2 linked regions of the Oryzias latipes genome follow. The protein of the gene in region 1 interacts with the protein of each later gene in a biochemical or structural test. Links are inferred from orthologs where the notes say so. Each region holds a gene or a part of one and is shown on either strand. Other genes may lie near its edges.

Region 1 (4,318 bases):
TTTTTTAATTAATTAGATGTAACATCTGTGTTGAACACAAAACAAGCCAGGTGTAGCTTTTTAGACCCACTCTGTTGTGAAATGGGAATGCTAAGTTATTACTGGAGTTTTGTCTGCTCTGTGGATCGGCGGGCATTCCTCTCACACTATTTTTAATTGGATGGAAAATAAACACCTATGGCATGCTAATACACTGGTGATTTGCATTGTGGTTTGGCGCTGGATGGGAATTCAGGGCAAGGTTTAGAGCCGAATAATCTCTGGCAGCTATGGGAGAAAAACAATGTGGCCATTATTCCATTAGCCACTTAGGTAGTTGAAAGTGTGTTGGAAGAAATGACTTTTTCTAACTGATCCATCTTTCCTCAAAGGAGTATCCTTTTCGTTGAATCAAAGCTGCTGTCATGAAAAGTCCATTTTGGCCTCTCTGTGCCATTTCTGTGATGTATTTTTAGCAACAGTCTACACAGGTTGTTTTTTTTGTGTGTGTACAAGCTGCAATTAATTACAGGAAACATTTTACCGTCCTAATTTAAAGTTGCATCTTTAATGTTATCTCTAAATTGTATTGTATTCGCAAGAACCTGCTTACCTTCTTTTATAACAAGTTATCCTAGTAAACGTAAAATATGGATCGTTTGTTTGTGGCTGTATTTTTTCTTTTCTTTTTCCTATTCTTTCCCTCATTGAGGTGATATACTAAAAGATCAAGGTATACGAGTGTCTGTTGTAAATAAATTGGGTCAGTGTCTGTAATTTACACCGCCTAAAATACTTTTTTAAAGTTGGCTCTAGTGGCAGTGTTGTATTAAAGAAGAGGTTTAATGCGACCCTAAAAAAGAACATTATTAGGAGTTGTTGTGAAAGGAAAGAGTTGTGTGATGACTAATCATGAAACCAGAGAAGCGCACACATGCGTATGCTGGGTGCAGCTTGAGGGGGGGTGTATTTGGCACTTGAGGGCAATATGAGGTTTCCAGAAGAGGTGGTGGGGGCCAGTTACAGTCACGTGACCCACAGACACCCCACTGTCACCTCAGTAACCAGGAGCCCAGGCGGCCCTTATCCAATCATGTCAGGAATGCTGGCTGTTACTTGACTAAGGCTATTTCTGCTGTCTGTCGCTAGTGCTTGGTAGTGCTACCAAGGAAAGAGGGATCCCCTTTCTATATAATTTTTTTAAAGTTTTACTTGCTCTTCCTTTCTGGTTTTCCTCTTCCTCCTCTTTTTACTTTTATTCAAATGCTGTCAGTTGTTTTGGAGTGACTGCCATGTTTCTGTTGAGCAATTGGTTTTCTGCGAACAGTTTACTGAGTGGGAAAGTTGTGGAAGAGTCTCTGAGAAGTTGGGAGGGGGAGGGCGAGGTGGGTGGAAGAAAAAGGGGATCAGTTATCCAGTCAGTGAGAGAAGAAGTGGGCGACACGAGGAGAGAGGAGAACCTAAAACCAGTCGGAGAAAGTGTGGGGGTTTTGGAGCTGGAGGACGGAGAGTAAAATGGCCCAACGTCTGCGTTTGTACTTTGGATCTGGCCGCAGCAATACAGCACCAGAGATACTGGAGGGAGACTCGGAGGAACAGCAGGAAGACAGTGAGGAGGTTGCAGTAGTCTTCACTCCCACACCTTTTCTGTCAAGGCCACCTCAAGTGTTAGCTGGGGAGAATGTCCATTCAGCTAGTTCTGCTTTACAGTCTGAGCCTTTGCTGAAACGCAGCTCTTCGATGTTCATACCCCATCTTGCTGCTTTTGCCGAACCACGTGCAACTAAGAGCTCATCAATGCATATATCACTTCATCGCTCAAGTGAATCAAGTAACGGAGAGCCTACCGGAGTTGATGATGTCCCACCACCCTCTTATACTCCTCCAGGACCTGCGCCTGCATACACTGAACTAAGGACTCGAGCTGACCTTCCACAACAGCCACCGCCTCCATACTACAGCCCAGATTCCTTAAACATACAGTCTTGTCTGATGGAGCCAAACCTTCCCAAACGCAGAGTGTTTTGTCTTGGTTCCAGGGGCCATGCTGCTTTCAACAGATTCCAACCTGGTAATAGTGTTGGGACTATTTGTATTAAGAAAAAATCTCTTAACGGTTCTGATGTCCAGCATTTTAGGATTCTTCCAAACGGTGGTGCGGGTTGGTCTGTCCAACAGGAGAGCCTGGATCACTGCTTTGATGTTAATGGGACAACACAAAGACTAGTATTTCAGCTCCAGCAAGACCAGAAAAATACCTACCAGGGACGACAAGAGTCAACTTCCCATCAGGAAGAATGCTCAGACTTTGGGCAAAGCAGTACTAGAGGATTACAAACAGTGCGTTATCCAAGAATTAGATTCCACCGGAGTTCATCCCAACAAAGTCTTTTGCTGGAGGATAAACACTTGGAAAGCGGAACAGAATATCCGACTATAGAGGAGAATCCAACTTATGTTGAGGCAGAAACTAAAAACGGGTCGAATGGTTGTGTTTTTAAAATTGAAGAGGAAGCCCCCAGAAGGCAACCACATTTCAAGATATACTTTTCCCAGAGTGGAGGTGGAGATAAGGAAGTTAATATTGGCAAAGAATCAACAAATAATCCCAAGGTAATGAAATAATTTGCTATTGAGTTGGACCATGGCTTGTTTCTGGTATTTTTACTGCAACAGGCTGTTTAATTCACATAAAAAAGCCTTACTTTTGCATAAATAAATGCCGACCTTTTTTTAATGGTGGAAAAATGGACGATTTTTATCTGGTGTTTCAGTGAGCACTGTTTGAAGATGTTTATTTACCTTAGTGAGAGACCAGGAAATGTTGTTACAATGCAGAACGAGGGTGGTAACTTGCTGGGAACCGTATAGAAAGCACAGAGTTGTTTCTAAACGGAATTAGACACTTGCTCTTTCTTCACAACCACAGGCATTTGAAGTTGTGCACACGAGCCAAATCAGCTATGAAAGAAAAGGAGTAACAGGCATCTGGATAAATGTACAATTCATTTGTTACATTCTGTTTTATAGACATTTGAAATGTAGATTTTTGATCATAATCGTGATTTTAAGAAATGCTTTTTATCAAGTTAATTCCTTCATCTTTAAATCATTTCAGTCATGGGTGTTTATTTTAGTGAAATGTCTTTTCTCTGGTTGTAGACTGGAACGGATCTGTATTCTAGCAGCAGCTGCACTGCCAGTGATTAAGATCTAAAATATCATTACATTTCAAGTACGGATGAAGAAATGCAATCATCAATACCTCATTTTGCTAAAAGTCCAAAGGATCTAAAAATATTTGTTGGTGTATTTTTAGCTCCCTCTCTCTTTCCCTATCACTGTTTTAAACTCTTTTATTTAGCTTTATTTTAAACTGTACTTGAGCTGTTCCCCATCGTACCATTCCCAATACCAAAAAACAAAACAAAACAAAAAAAACAGTGTCTTCTGGACCACAGAACCTGTTGCCAGCCTTCGAACAGTCGACAAAAGTTTCACGACTGTAGTGTCAAAACAAAAGCTTTAATCACTTAAACATTTTCCCAATAGAAAGAATAAAGATTACACAACCACCTGCTTCATCTGTTTTAGTCATTTTAGTGTTAAGTCATAGTCATTGGTTTAATGCCCCAAGAGTACCATTAGGTAGTGACACAGAAAGAAGGTAAACACGTTTAAAGAACCATATTTTATTGTTTAAAATATAATTATTAGGCTATAGCTAGGAATCTATACTGTTTTTTTTAAAGAAAGGCTGATGTTAATATTGTCTTTTCCACCCCTAATCTCCCATAAGAGGGACTTGAGATAAATTCGCTCATAGTGTAACTTGTAATCTATAGATTTTTATTTATACCATACTTTTTGCCAAGCTCTCAGAATTTGAACCATGTTTTTGATATACCATACTGTATAACCCACAGCACATGAATGCCAAACCATATACATAAAAAATAATATCTCTTATGGGAACTAGTGCACAGACTCAGTTTTATTAAAAGGGGATCATTAAACTCCAAGTCTGCTTATAAAAATTCCCATTGGGGATCTTTATGATTAAGATTTAACTTCAAACATCGTTTCTGTGCAATTCTGAGTCATGGGTTATAAGTTTAGACCACATCATTTATAAAATTGGATGTAATTCAGACATGTTTCTGCATCTTTTTGTAGTTATTTTAAAATTTTATTAAAAAATGTTAAGCTTTTAACAAATTGAAAAAAAAAATCCCTTTAGGAGTCGAGACATCCCCTTCCTTACGCAAATGGAAAACTCTTTTAGCCCAGGTCTTCCCCAACTGGCCGGCTGAATTTAATTAATGCTTTTTAAATTCCA
Region 2 (4,471 bases), on another chromosome or scaffold:
GTTCTATTTGTTAACAAGATAATAAACATAGAAATAAACTAATATAAAAAATCTATTGGGATTATGTTTAAGACAAACAAAAACATTGATGAGACTACCGTTTCCGTAGCTGCTGGTTGTGGTAAAATAAATAAAGCAAGGATAAATAAGAAGGCTGTACTTAGAAATTAATTTTTTTACCTGGGGATCATGTTAATTTCATGAATATGCAGTTTTAGCCAAAATCCAAAAACCTGGGTCGTTTTCTAGGACATAGTTTTTGTGGAGCAGCAGTAGTTCATCCTATGCGTTGTTAGCGCGGAAGTACACCTCCACTGATATCCCATCATACCTTTGTTTACACTCTCTACCACTAGCTTACAGCTCCTTACAACCCCAAGCTAACATTACCAGTCAACAAAATTGGCAAGCAATGTTGGAGCCTTCCAGCAGTACAGTTTTGTGCCAGATGCTAGCTCAGATGAGGACAATGAAGACGTTAATGAATCTATTTGTAGGCGAGGGGATGCATCAGAATGGAACACAGCAGTGAAACTTTGGCCCATCCATTTCACATGCGTCATGAAAGAAAAGCTTTTTCAAACAGAAAAGCTTTTTCAAACAGCATTTTTGCATCTGCATTCATTCAAATTCGAAGAAGAAATTCTCAGAAATGCACTTCTTATCTTACATTCTTTTATACATGTCCTCCATGAGAAAAAGGCTACAAGGACATGTTACAAACCCCCAAAAGCATGATTTTCAATGGAGTGGATCTTTAACAACTGTAATATTCTATCATATTTAAAAAGAAAACTGATGTGTATTTTTTTTTGTAACTGTTACAGACAAAAATTTTGTTTCTTCTTGAGCCTACAAATGGGGCTATCCACCAGTCAAACCAGAAATAGTGCCCCAATGAGGCTTGTATGTCAGGTAAAAACAAAAATCAAAAACATGTTTTTGACATGATGATTTTTATGAATGGAAAAATAGTTGAACAGACAAAGATGTCTCAACAACCGCGTGTCAATCCGTGACTGAAGTCTCCATTTCCCTGATGAGAAAATCCAAAGCCCACATGGGGATAGATGGTGAACGGGGCTGATTGAGAGAAATGGCCTTCCCCATCTGAACCTTTTAATGCACCTTCTCTGTTTGGTTCTTTGTTTAATTCAGTTTTCTCGTAAATTTACCAAATGCATCATTTCTGTTTCAATTTAACCTTTAAAAAAAAATCTATCTTCCTCGCTGTCTAGAAAAATAAGACTTTTTCAAACAATCACAGTAGAGATGATTCAGTAGCCTGAGCCTAAAAGGCAAAAAACAACAGGAAGCGCACTTTATTTTGACAGGGAGAGGCGGAAGAGCTTTCTAAAACGGTCGTAACTGGCACGGATTTTTTTTTTTTTTCCAGAGGCAGTGCGTCGAGCTCGCTGCTGTTTGTCTCGTAGGTTTGGCGTACTATCTCCAGCGTCGGTCGTGATTACAGGAGTCGCCTGGCGGTCACCGCATAGGCGTCTAACGGGTTAACTTGCGTATTATTTCAGCTGCTTTTCTTCGCCGGGAATGGACCCTGCGAGTCGGTACCAAGTGGTGAGTTTAAAGAACCGAGCTGGGACCGCGGCCTAGCCACAGGAAACAAGGCCCCGCGATTAAAACCCAGCAAGGGGTGTCTTTAAACAAACGTTGTATTTTATCTTAGCTATAAAAAAGAATAATAAACATGACTTAAATACATATTAGTATCATAAAAAGTTAACTTGATTGTATTTTCCCCTATAAGAACTGGCTTCCGCATCGGCTAGGCTAGCATCTAGCTTAGCTAGGTAGATGTCGGCGTTCAGTCTCTGTCACTTGTTTATAATCAGGTCATAACACGTTTAGTCTCAATTACTAGCTAAATAAACGCTATTATGATGCTACATACATCGAGTTTGTTTATCTGGAAAAATAAAATAAAAATCCAGTCTACTCTTTACTCATTTGTGAGCATTAAGACTTAATTTGCCATTATGGAAAACAGTCATCTGAATCTTTGTCATAATCAGCAGAGGTATTGTGAAACCAGTGGTGTTGCTAACTAAAAAGTCAACTCCCTGCTTCACGCAGAGTTCAGCGTAAAAGGGGGTGTGTGTCTGTTTCAAGGCTAGAAAAGCAAGGAGGGGGGAAAAAAAGTTGCAGCAACTGTCAGGATATCAGAAATAACATTGTTTTATTCTCCTCCCCGGGGCTGCGCCGGTTTTTGAAGGCATGGGTTCTGCAGCCCTCCCTGGGCCTGGGATATAGGCTTGTGGCTGTGTTGTGAATGTCTTATGTAAGCCCCCCCTGTGCATGGGGGAGCCTTGTGCTTTGTCCTTGATTTCCAGCCAGGCAGCAGCCGCTCATTTGCCCCGTGCTCCCAAAAGATTGGCGGATTCTCATTTGATCCAACTTCTGCGGGTCCCCCCCCCCCCCCCCCCCCCGAAAGTTGTGCGGGAGGGGTGTGTGAAAACTGCACTTTTTTTTTTGGAGTTTCAGTTTTGCCACAAGGAAAGTAATGATTTGTGTTTACTGGGAAGCCTAAACAGAAAGAGTTCTGAGATTTGTTTACTTTCTGCGACCCAATAGCCCTCGGCCATTGTCTTGCAAGCTCAACCCGCTCAACCACCTCCACATGGCTTTTATGTTTAAATCACAAAATGTCAGAGATAGGAAGCATGCCATTTTTCAACTGGGAGTGGCTTCCATACTATTTTTAACAACTAGTTAATAAAAACACTAATATTCTAGGTTTTTCCCTTTAAAAAAATGCAGACACAGTTTGTGGGATCATTGGGGATATTTTTAGAGCATCTTCTTGGCTTTATTTCAGATTTCGGTCTGTAATTTCATAACGGTAAATCCATCTTCCTGTTACGTATTAATACGGGTTATAGAAACGCGTCATTGGCACTGCCCGCTTATAAACACAGCAGGCCGTTTCAGCCCTGTTCTTCTCTGTGTGGACGGGAACAACAAGCATTTCCTTCCTTTATTATTTAAGTCATTTCTCAACTTTAGAGAACATTTAGCCACTTTTGTTTTTTTTTGAAACAGTGATTTTGGATGTAAGAGATGGAAAGGCCGACATTAATTTATCCAAAAATTAAATGAATATATTAAAATCAAAACAAAAAATATTGTTATTTTTGGCTTTATAAATAAGTCTGTAAGTAGAATTTAGACCTAAATTGGATTATTGGGCATTTCAAAGACAAATGGGACCGCAGTTATTCCAAATAGAGCTGTTCTGTAAAGCTTTTATACAGCTGTGACTGTCAAAAACTGTAATTAGATAAAAAGACTAAATAAGAATTTAAACAGAAGTCCAATAATGTTCTTGAAAGCAGATTTTTGAGAAAATTCCCTTTTCTGCAAACCATAAAAATCCGATTGTGCAAGGCTCAGTTTGCTACACGACAACTAACTGATATGCTGCAGGTTTAAACAAACACCACAAATGTCACAACGATAAACACAGCAAGGTCGCTCAAGTGCAGCCTGTGCTGAAATTCTTAACCTTTCTGCTGCAATGTTGATAATAAATGTTTTACCTTTTTTAGGAGGAGTTGGTGGGGGCGGTCGCCTGCAGCAGCTTGGGCTATTTTTTTATAAAGAAAATCTGAAATAAACAGACAAGCACAGAAAGAAAATGGTTTTTAGTTTTTATCTGCTGTCAGCTTCACTTCCTCTTGCTTTATCTCAATTCTAATTTGAGTCGCGCAAAACTACAACTTCAGTTCAAAAACTGTCTTTGAGGCTGATAACTTTTGCTTTCCTTGCCATAAAAACATCTTGTTGGACTTGCGGATCCTGACTGTCATGTTTGGGGTCTCAAGTGTCGTTTCGTCTCCTTAGTTGCACAATGAGGACGATGGGTGTGAGGCCTCCACCAGTGAGGAGCAGCCATCCACATCCGCAGCCGCCCAGGCCTCCAGCACACCCGTGCAGGACCAGAACCAGGCTCAGTCCCCGGCTTTAGCAGCAGGAGCAGCAGCAGCCAGTTCTGTGGGGGAGGCAGAGATGCCACCCCCGCCTTATGCCTCCATCGACCTGGGAGCAGCTGCCGCAGCACCTGGTACTGCTGCCTCCTCCCTCCTGGTTTCTTTAAATGCTTCCCGACCGATTTTTTACCGATGAGTCACTCTAAGACTAACAGCACTCGTCACCAGCTGACTCTGCTCGCTGTCTTCTCTGTGAATTCAAAGCTCCTGCTTCTCCTTGTTTTCACAGAATCGTGTTTTCAAGGCGACTTTCCGGTGCCTCCACCCTACAGCGTTGCTACTTCCCTCCCCACGTATGATGAGGCAGAAAAGGCCAAAGCAGCAGCCATGGCTGCTTCTGCAGTGGAAGTGATGCCCAGGGTGAGAAGACACTCGCGTAAATTCACATCCACATATCTGTTTCATGTTGTTTTCTTGACACATACCGAAACAAGTGTAACAGAAAAATGTCAGAAATGGATTGTGTA

Evidence for each region.
Region 2: of the proteins of nedd4l (region 1) and ndfip2, one has a biochemical effect on the other in vitro, tested with the Homo sapiens proteins (2 studies listed by BioGRID, with this or other methods). The link is inferred for Oryzias latipes from reciprocal best matches to the Homo sapiens genes NEDD4L and NDFIP2.

Annotation. Positions count from the first base shown.
Region 1 is NC_019870.2:9,923,066-9,927,383, forward strand, and holds the start of nedd4l (E3 ubiquitin-protein ligase NEDD4-like), read left to right. Parts: upstream 1-1,376; 5' UTR 1,377-1,494; coding exon 1,495-2,592; intron 2,593-4,318. UniProt on the Homo sapiens protein: E3 ubiquitin-protein ligase that mediates the polyubiquitination of lysine and cysteine residues on target proteins and is thereby implicated in the regulation of various signaling pathways including autophagy, innate immunity or DNA repair.
Region 2 is NC_019860.2:18,747,506-18,751,976, forward strand, and holds the start of ndfip2 (NEDD4 family-interacting protein 2), read left to right. Parts: upstream 1-1,375; 5' UTR 1,376-1,548; coding exon 1,549-1,575; intron 1,576-3,858; coding exon 3,859-4,078; intron 4,079-4,233; coding exon 4,234-4,364; intron 4,365-4,471. UniProt on the Homo sapiens protein: Activates HECT domain-containing E3 ubiquitin-protein ligases, including ITCH, NEDD4, NEDD4L, SMURF2, WWP1 and WWP2, and consequently modulates the stability of their targets. As a result, may control many cellular processes.